2 linked regions of the Neodiprion lecontei genome follow. The protein of the gene in region 1 interacts with the protein of each later gene in a pairwise test. Links are inferred from orthologs where the notes say so. Each region holds a gene or a part of one and is shown on either strand. Other genes may lie near its edges.

The links.
Region 2: the proteins of metaxin-1 (region 1) and metaxin-2 interact in a two-hybrid assay, tested with the Drosophila melanogaster proteins (2 studies listed by BioGRID). The link is inferred for Neodiprion lecontei from reciprocal best matches to the Drosophila melanogaster genes CG9393 and CG8004.

Annotation. Positions count from the first base shown.
Region 1 is NC_060265.1:18,722,402-18,728,101, reverse strand, and holds metaxin-1, read left to right. Parts: upstream 1-2,035; 5' UTR 2,036-2,092; coding exon 2,093-2,173; exon of another isoform or gene 2,174-2,363; coding exon of another isoform or gene 2,364-2,390; exon of another isoform or gene 2,391-2,625; coding exon 2,626-2,876; exon of another isoform or gene 2,877-3,052; coding exon 3,053-3,218; exon of another isoform or gene 3,219-3,293; coding exon 3,294-3,680; exon of another isoform or gene 3,681-4,509; coding exon 4,510-4,584; 3' UTR 4,585-4,914; downstream 4,915-5,700. Other genes in the region: vacuolar protein sorting-associated protein 45, read right to left, coding at 5,075-5,273, 5,436-5,665. UniProt on the Drosophila melanogaster protein: Involved in transport of proteins into the mitochondrion. Essential for embryonic development.
Region 2 is NC_060264.1:31,956,298-31,960,879, forward strand, and holds metaxin-2, read right to left. Parts: upstream 2,307-4,582; 5' UTR 2,181-2,306; coding exon 2,135-2,180; intron 1,787-2,134; coding exon 1,207-1,786; intron 1,059-1,206; coding exon 710-1,058; 3' UTR 525-709; downstream 1-524. Other genes in the region: 60S ribosomal protein L23, read left to right, coding at 3,036-3,048, 3,340-3,423, 3,693-3,821, 4,089-4,285.

The sequences.
Region 1 (5,700 bases):
TTAGTGTAATACCACAGTCATTATTGAATCGTGATCACATTTGTATAATAATAATAATTACCATACACAGTCATAATGTTGCGTGCAATTGACACACCAAATAGTCTAATTTTTTGATAATATTAATAATATAAGCAACAAAGAGTGTACAATACTATAACTTAGACATAACTCTTAGTCATATACACCTACCATAAATGTGTTTTTAATTTGAACAAAATTATTACATTATACTACGCGCATTACATGTAGATAGCTGAACTTTGGTTTTAAAAATAATAATAGTCATTTTAGGTGACACAGAAGAGAAAAAAGAATGCTCGAAGAAAAACTTTTGGTGTCACTACGACTACACATAATGAATTACTATATCAAGACAATTCTTGCTCTCTACAACTCAATATAGTAAACATATTCCTTTTCTTCAATCACATCTAAGCTATTATTATTTTATTTTTGAGTTTGAATACCTTTTTTGAATGTCTACTATATTAATTTCATTTTATTCCCATGTTCTACTAGACATATAATTTGAATGAAAAGAAATCTTGAAATATCTTCAACACGTGTTTGAGTATCAAATTTTATTATTGGTATCGCGTTTAATATAAATTTATAATTTGAGGCAGTTGGCTAAATAACATGACAGCATGTTGCTTCGTACCAAAAGATTTATCCAGAATTATCTGTAACATCAAACGATAAAAAAAAGATGTATCAACGTTTATTCTTGCTAGTATTTTTTATTTCTACTTTGGTTTTTTATTTGTACTACGTACTGTATTCCAATTGACCTCGTGCTAAAAAAAAATTAAAGGGACTCAAAGATGCGGTGTTATTGATTGGTCAGTTTTATTTTTATCTCTTAATTTTTTCTTTCTGTTTACCATATGAGTGTATGTTATCAATAATTGCTACTAGTATTCATGAAATACCTGGTATATAAATCCTAAATCATATTTTACCAGATTATTGTAATGCGCAAACTCTATATAAATGTAATATCAGCATGTGTTTGATTAGTGAAAAACATTTTGAAACCAACTTAAGCATAGGTCATATAATTGGTCAGAGGTCAATCAATTTTAAGTTGCATACTTGACTGCATAATTTCAATTACGTATACAAAAAATAATACGAAATCATAATGATGATGAGAAAATAAACCAGTATCAAAAATGGATAGAAATTTTTTTAAATATGCAGAGATATGTACTCTAAGTATAATCGATTGTGCCTCTGAAAAATACCTCCGAATGAATCAATTATGTTTTCAAATCATTATCTATAAGGCGTGTCTATATAATAGCTATTGGCAACTATAAGCATGTATATACATGATAAATATAATAATAAACCTAGAAAGTAATTATCAAGAAGAACACGAGCCGTTTCATTTCATCCTAAAATTAAAACAATCTCTGATAATTGACGGTGTTAGTTCAAACAAAAAGCAATCACAAGGGCATTCGTTTTTTGAATTCTAGTGGTTCAATAACTGAAGTTATGTATTTCCATCATGTAGGTAAAAAATTATACAGTCGCATCTTTGTTACCAAACTTGATTTCAAATAATACTAGTACATAGTTTCTAAATGAAACGATATATTATTATTCACTCAGCAGCAAAGCACTAAAAAAAAAATTCTCATATTAAAGTTCCATAGGAAAGCAAGTGTTTCAAGAAAGCTACACAAGAAAGACCTGTGTACTTGATTTGCAGATTGTAATTGTGGATTAAATAAATTTCATAGTTCCGTTTCAGCTTTTAGTATACCATACAAATATGATTACAATGCGGTATACATATACTCTGCGCGAGACTAGCTTCAGTTTCCTGATTTCCTGATGTGCAGGCGTATCTGAACATGAACCAAATTAACATTATATTATCAACTAGTTTACCTACCAGGATGGGATTTCGAACAGTCAATCGCGAAAAAATTGTGAAATTTCTTTTTTTTCACTGTTCGTCGTTGTTGGCGCTTGTCATGTTTACATAGGACAATCACGTGCGATTGGAAAACATTTATCACGCACTGGTAATATATTTATTTAATTGTCAATTTTTTGTGATTTTTCGAAATTCGAAATGAATGAGTCGTTTCAACTAGACGTCTGGAAAGGGGATTGGGGCCTTCCTTCTGTCGATCTTAAGTGCTTAAATATTTTGGTATGTTCTTCAGTCTTAGTAAGGTTATGATCATCAAACTTGCATTATTCCGCATCATTATTTTAACAGAAAAGCTTCTTATCACATCGCAGTTTTCAAGATTTGATTATTAATCCCATCTTCAAATTGACCTGCTGAATAATCAACCAGAATATCTTATACACAGTTAAAATATCGTACCCTACCATCAATGTTTTCACAACAGCGAGAACTTCAGGTGTTTAAATTCAACTTGATCTAGATGTTTCCACTTTGTACCTTGTATTGTCATCTATTGATAGAAATTTTTATTCCTCTTACTGGTTATATACTTGTGTAATTAACTGGTTCTCAGGCAAACTTTTTTTTTTCTTCAAAGACTTAAGTAGATTGATAATCATCTTTGTATTGAAACTTTACGTCAAAATTCTCACAGGTATTTTTTCCTCACATGTCCAATAATTATTTTGTAGGTCTATGCCAAATTTAGTGGAGTACCGCTCAAGATAAATCCTACTAATAATCCATTTCGGACACCAAACGGTGCACTACCTGTTCTCCGATGTGGTAGCGAGACTTTAGACTCAGTGAAAGATATAACTGCATTTTTTCGAAAAAAGAATTACACAGCTGATTTTAGTCTTACTCCTAAACAATGCGCTGAGGTCGTCGCATATGATACTATGCTTAAGGAGAAAATTTACCCGGCACTGCAATATGTTTGGTTAGTATAAAATAATAATCATTACCTACTAACTGTGCAGACAACAATCATGTCAAATCATCTCGTAGATCTGAATGAGTAAGTGGGAAATGTTAATTCATAGGCTTCAGAAACACGCTTGCGTGCATATGATTATCAATGCCCTAAACGTTAATTTTAGGTTTCAAATGTTACAGGTGGGTTGATGTAAAGAATTACAATGAATTCATACAGCCATGGTACGCCAAAGCACTACCTTTTCCTTTGAATTTCTTTTACCCTGGTAAATTTGAAAGACAAGCTAGGAACATGATGGAATCGCTGTACCCAACTGAAGGCGAAATCAGTGCCATAGAAAATGCGGTAAATAGAAATATTTTACAAATGCTAGTATTTATTTATTTGCACATCTTCAGTAATTATCAACTAAAATTGCAGGTGTATTCTGAAGCACAGAAGTGCTTGACACTGTTATCGACTCGGCTGGGAGAAAGAGAGTATTTCTTTGGCCCTCACCCTACGTCTCTGGATGCAATAATCTATTCATATCTTGCACCTTTGTTAAAAGCTCCACTGCCAAATCCTGCATTGCAAAATCACCTCAAAGCCTGCACAAATTTAGTCAAGTTTGTAACTCGTATATCTCAGAAATACTTTCCGGACATATGTCAAGAATATGAGAGGAAAAAAGCTGAAGAAAGTGTTAGAAAAATGCGAAGAGATTCAGAGAACGAATTTCCCCACAAGAAGAGAAACCAATTCCTTGCTGGCGTTTTTGCTACTGTAGCCATGGTCGGTTATGCTTTATCCACCGGCATTGTTGAGGTATGTAAGTAAGGATAAGTTGCATTAAAGCACTCTTAAATACAGCTCCAAGATATACACATAAATTATTAATAGATACTAGTCCAAGATTTATACAAACACAAAATTACGTGAATGATATTATTAAATGAGGCTTTAGACTAGTCTGTTACACCCATTCTTAATACTATGAGATCTCGATCTCACTGATCTTCAGTTCATAATTGCTAAGATAATGGTTTTTTTAACATTGTCACAAATCCTTTATCTCACATAGTTAACCAATCCTAATTTCATCATTATAACTTGTGTGAATTCCAATTAAAAACTTACAACAAGAATTGTTCGTCTTAGCTAATTGCATGGATGTGTCTGAAAAGGAAGATCTAATCTGTGTTTAAGTATGTTACAAAATTGTAAAAGCTATTGACTGATTCCGTATCAAAATTATCTCCCACACATCACAACAGAATTTCTGGAACAACAAATCGTTAAGGATCAGTAGGGCTCGAAAAAAGGATTTGTGAGCATAGATCTAAATTGATATAGGTCAATTCATAATCAATGTCATAATGTTAAAACCCCGGAGGTCCCTTACAGATTCCGAATAGAATGAAATTATGGGTGAAATCGGTAGGTACAACGAAAAATTCTCATCCAAATATGAAAATGTTATGGTCACTTGACAGATTCGTATCAAACAAAGAAACCTGGTGTTTTGGTATGTAATTTAGACATGCCCTATTAACGAACTGAGCATTTTCATACAAGTCTTTTCAAATTAACACCACACTTACTCCAATATTATGCGAAATAATCACTTGCGAAAAACATTATGTATCTGTTGAAGGTAACAAGAAATGATGACCGGATGTTGGAAGGGCCACCGGACTACATGCTTGAAGATCACACTAGAGATGAGTAGTATTTCGATATCAAATTGAATTTTAATCTCCAGAAGTGAAAACAATAAAAATTGTAAGATGTTAATAAATGGCCGTTATTTTCGAATAATGTTTACCCGCAAACTAGTACGTAGTCGTTCAATACTGTAAATCACAACTTTTTAAATCACTAGCTGTTTCTTTCAACTGAGATTATTCGAGTGATTTAGTTTAGACTTATAATCAATATTTGCAGTTATACGGTGAAGTTACTCAGATAAATTTTCATAAAAAAAACAGTTACTATCACGGTACAACGTATTATAAACGGACCAATGATTATGAAAGAAAATAAAAAAGAATGGCTTACATATCACTGACTAATGCAAATTCGGAACAGATACAGACATTATCCAGTGTTAACTATTGTGTACTTGAAGCTTGAGACACGTTTTATGCAACATAAGTGTAACAGCAGTGAAAAGTAATGCAAATAAATATTTAGTTACAGTATTGTTGAAGCTTTATTAGTTAGTTATTCCTACTTCGATATCTTCTTGTTATACTATTAGTAGCGCTTTGAATTTCCTCTGTGAACGTTTGGAAATTGTGAATTGTCGTACCACCTAAAATTATTTTTGTTCCTGGATTTTGTTTATTCCAATTATTCACAGCGAGACTTTCTTCATAAGTCGCACCGCCCACTATGAAAACAATAATTTCTTGAGGTCTGAAAATTTAGATGAAATCAAATACATGAGTACTGATTCGTGTAGTACCTACATTATATGGGAATTATTCATATTGCTTTGGAATATTATTATAATGAACATACCATTACTACGGTTTGCCATAATCAAAGAAGTATTCCAATAATATTCGTTCTAAATACCTTTTTGACATGACCATATTTCCTAAATAGGGGAAAGTTTGAGTGCTCAACCTTCCTTTCAACAGATCATCCAATGTTTCGACTAGCAATGGTTTATGTTGCGTATATATGTTATCTACGCCACTCAGACCCATAAATAACTTCTTCGTTATTTTAGAAACCCCTTCATGATTAAACAGATTACTTTGCCTAGCATGAACTCCGCTGTACTCTAATATACTGTAGACAAGCTAAAAGAACAAAAGTCAAATAATTAAATTTTCTT
Region 2 (4,582 bases), on another chromosome or scaffold:
TCCACTATATTTGAACAATATTTCTTCGCAGCGTTTGGCAGTGTGGTTATAGTACACTATAACCAAATTCACTAATTTACAGTGTGGCCCGTTTTAATCTAACTGCAACTTTATTAATTTTGAAAAAATTACTTCTGAAATGCGAATGAAAACCGGTAAAACGGATTTCTCACAACCAGGGATTGATTTTTGTTCTGTTTCAGCAGAGAAATCCTGACTTTTTGTTTCATTTTCATTCAACTTATCTTCCATCTCTCAATTTTCAAGCGTAGGGGAGATTTTAGTCTTGAGGATTACAACAGGCCACCCATCTCATGAGGCTTGATCAACTGAATTTAGTCGTCCTCTGTGCGTTGGAAGTACCTGGCCTCGATTCGCTTACACAAGTTGACCAAGGTCGGATAGCTCTTGACGATGTTAGCCAATGAATTGTTAGGCAGTGGTGTCGTAAGGATGGTGAAGATGTGTCCAAAGGCCAGAGCATCCAGTTCATTTGGACTGCTATAATTTCGAGATCTTATCTTAAACGTTGTTGTAAGTTAAAATATGAAAGAAATTTGAAGGACCTGAAAGTGCATGGAACTTTATTGCACGTACTTGTAGATAGTAGTTTATAATAAAGCTCTAAAGGTCTACCACATGTCTTAAACAATATCGGTACATTTGACAATTGGTGAGAATAAAAATTGACTATCAAACTACCAAGATTTTAACCAATTACAAATTCTTTTAAATCTAGATGGCAGGTTTCTTCCAAGGAATCATTCTTTTCATTCGCTTTCAACATGGCGAATGAATCTTCTGTGAGAGGGAAAAGGGATTCAAGGGATCCGGTAGAGTTGCAAAATGAATCTTGGGACATGGTATCATGCAGATACACTTGGCCTACAGAAATATCTGATTCCTTTTTGAAATAAAGAGTGTTCACCAATCGACAGTGTTCAATGAGCTGCTGGAATCTGCCTATTGTTGCAGACATTCCGCAGACAGAGGGAAGGAAGGGTGTGGTGGTTAGGGCATGAATGTGGCCATACACTAAAGCATCCAATTCAGTTGGCCTTGGGGGAAAAAGAATTGTAATTTAGGGATGGTCTTAAATATCAATTATCTCGCATCTTTTTTGTACTTCCAATCATTTTTATGATTGCCACGAAGTATTTATATTCCGTATCAGCTGAATGTAAAAAATATAAGTCAGATACTCACTCATCACCAAAGAAGTAAGTTTTTCCTTCAAGCCTTTCGGCAAGTGCTGTGCAGCAGTTTTTGACCTCACCGAATACCTCGTCAAGACTTTTATTGTACCAGCCCAAGACATTCAGTTTCTTTGTAATCTGATTTTGCTTTTGCCAGTTAAGAAGATGATTGAGAGGCCAAGGATAGACACTGCCGTGCCTGGGCTTGGTGACTGAAATCAAGGTGGCCTGATCTACCCAGCAAACATACTGTTCAGCATTAACTAGCACATTATTAACAAGCGATATGTAGGCTCGCATGTCAGCCTTATCAGTTGCCCCAAGCTCTCCAGAAAGACTAGAACCCTTGCTGCTGATGAAAGACACGATCGGGTCGAACTCCGATACAAGGAAAGCCCCACATTGAATAAAAGGGACTCTTCCTGAGGGAGACATGTACTCCGCATTGCTTCTCGGTTCAATTTGGAACTCCAGACCGCACATTTTTAAGTACGCTTGGACCGCCAGGCAGTTTGCATTGTCAGGGAGCAGAATTTGCTCGACCTCATATGGCTGATACAATTTTATCGGCTGCGGCCAAGGCTCTTGAGCTAAGAGTAAATAGTCGGAGAGCAAAATTCATAGATAATTTCTGAGGGGTTCAAACAGGATTACATAAGGTTATGTTAGGTTACGGTTAGGTCAGTTTCTGTTACCAAGGCTAGGTTAGGTTGCAACGGGGAATTGATATACTGGATTTGAGTAAAGTTTGACTAGGTTTGATTACATATACGTCATATTTTACAAGAGTTAAGGTTCGTCGTGTTAAATACAGATTCTGCCACGATAAAGTGGCAACGTTGTTCTGAAAGATAACCTGAGTCAAGTTAGGTTAGGTTAGGGTAGAGTCGAAGCACGCGTAAGATCTCAAGAGGTTACGATTAGTGTCTGAAATTTACCTCCTAACTCCATCGCTATCGTATCTGAGAGTAGAACGTCTGGCATTATGACAATTATTTTGACGGCGATGAACTTACTCCGTTTATTAATTTAGTCAACTAAGTAAAAGCGGGCTTCAAACTGCAGAAGAGACGTGAGTCTGCGGCAGGTCGAGCTATCGAGTTACTGAATCGAGCGGTCGAAGTATTCGTTAGATGTGGGCATTTTTGAAGTTCTACCGGAAGGTGATAATGCAGTTTGTTTACTAAAATTACCGTGAATATCCAGATATTTTTCACCGCAGATAGCCATGCACCCCTGCGTCGATGCTAGAGAGTCATCCTGCTATAATGAAAAATATGTTCTGTAATCGAAAAGTCGGGATAGGACCAAGCTGACGTTCGATAACCTCTTCGCAATCCACGGCGGAGACAAATGTCTGTATAACATGCTCCCCGAGCAGAGGGTCCTTTGTTTTCCTAACCAGTGTTTCGTAAACTTTTGAAAACATCTTTATGAATTGTTGCGAATTGAGGATTTATTCTGAAAACAGTCGATTTAGAGAAAATTTATATACGCACACCGCACACTAATCGATCACAGCGCTATTTCAAAAATTAGATATGTCAGAACGACCGCTGCGGATCAAATTAAGTACTCGAGAATCATTCCACGAAAATTTTCAATAAGCTTAACCCAGTCCTCTAATTATCAAGTAAAGGTGATAGAATAAACCTCAATGATTTTTCAGCCCCTTATGTATCCACAATCTTCTGATCCACGAGTGTTGGGGACATCGCGTTTGTACGAATTTTGACCAGCTGGTATTCAGCTGCGTGTAAATGATGCGCGTCAAGAGTTGGATCAGGGGTCTGCAGTACAGATCGAGCGCCCCAGACTTCCTCTTTCAAACGAAGCAAGATGTCGAAACGAGGTGAGCCCGAGTTTGGGCCGAAATAAATCCGCAATAATCGGCCGTTTCCGAGCGAGACGTACCGCGTTTGAGTGTTTAGCGAACGTGGAAGATACGTGTGCGTCATGCGAAACGTATACTTAACGTTATTTGTGCCTTACGATGAAATAAGATGCGTGATAAATACTTGCCGCCTGTCGACAACACGATACGACGCGACGTACGTCTTGCTCCGGAACACGGGAATAACCTAACAAACGGAGACCACGCGATCCTCATGGATGTTTATCAACTTTAATATTTCTGTTTAAGGACGTGGTGGTTCCGCTGGAGCTAAATTCAGGATATCTCTGGGTCTACCTGTTGGCGCAGTTATCAATTGTGCTGACAACACGGGTGAGTTAGTCCAAATCGTAAGTCAATACTATGCGTGTCCACGTCCTTATTCCAACCATTCGTCCATATCATCATTCTTCATTCTTCACATTCTTCTTTTTCCGATATGTTCGTACTTGATGAAATTATACGCAGTTCATCCTGTTCGTGATTCACCATTCACATTGATCTCTGCGCGTACACGATGAGATGCACATATTAAAATTTGCTGCGCTCATGCCACTATCTGTTGTGTCTCTTGTTTAATCTAATCGATATATCTTTTTAAGGGGCCAAGAATTTGTATGTAATCGCAGTACAAGGAGTGAAGGGACGTCTCAACAGACTGCCTGCTGCAGGGTCCGGTGACATGATTGTTGCCACTGTTAAGAAGGGAAAGCCCGAACTCAGAAAGAAAGGTTCGTTTAACTCGATACTGGCTTAATATGTTCATCTGACAATGTTCAGTTGTTTTCGTTATCATGAAAGTCGACTGCAAAGCCATGCTGTTGCCCAATTCAACGCATGTTCCAAGTTCTACAAGTGTCTGTTTTAGGTTAGGTGAACACTTTTCATTTACGTTTAGTCGTGCTGTGTCTTTGTATACATGGATACTATTGGCTTAAAAGATTTGCGTGAAAATTTGACTTTATGATGGAGTAAAAAATAATTTTTTTTTATTGCAGTTATGCTTGCCGTGGTGATCCGCCAGCGTAAGCCTTTCCGGAGGAAGGATGGGGTATTCATATACTTCGAAGACAACGCAGGTGTTATTGTGAATAATAAAGGTGAAATGAAAGGCTCAGCCATCACTGGCCCAGTAGCTAAAGAGTGCGCCGATTTGTGGCCAAGAATCGCCTCCAATGCCAGCAGCATCGCCTAAAATAACACCTTGTATACCGTTGACTCAATAAATACCAATTTGGACTCGTCATCGGTACTTTACTTATTTACTGTTTAATACGTTTGTATAATGTCACGAATAGTAAAATGATTGTCATGCTATCAGGTGCATTCTGTTTAGATTAAGATTTAGTCTATTTTTCTGAAAACAAGTTTGTCGTTAGAACATGACTACATTGCAAGATTTTTCCATTAAAATTCATGAGATCTAGTATTTCACCATCCTTACTCAAGATCTTGAACTGCCGTACAAGTAAGTATTTTTTGAAAATACATC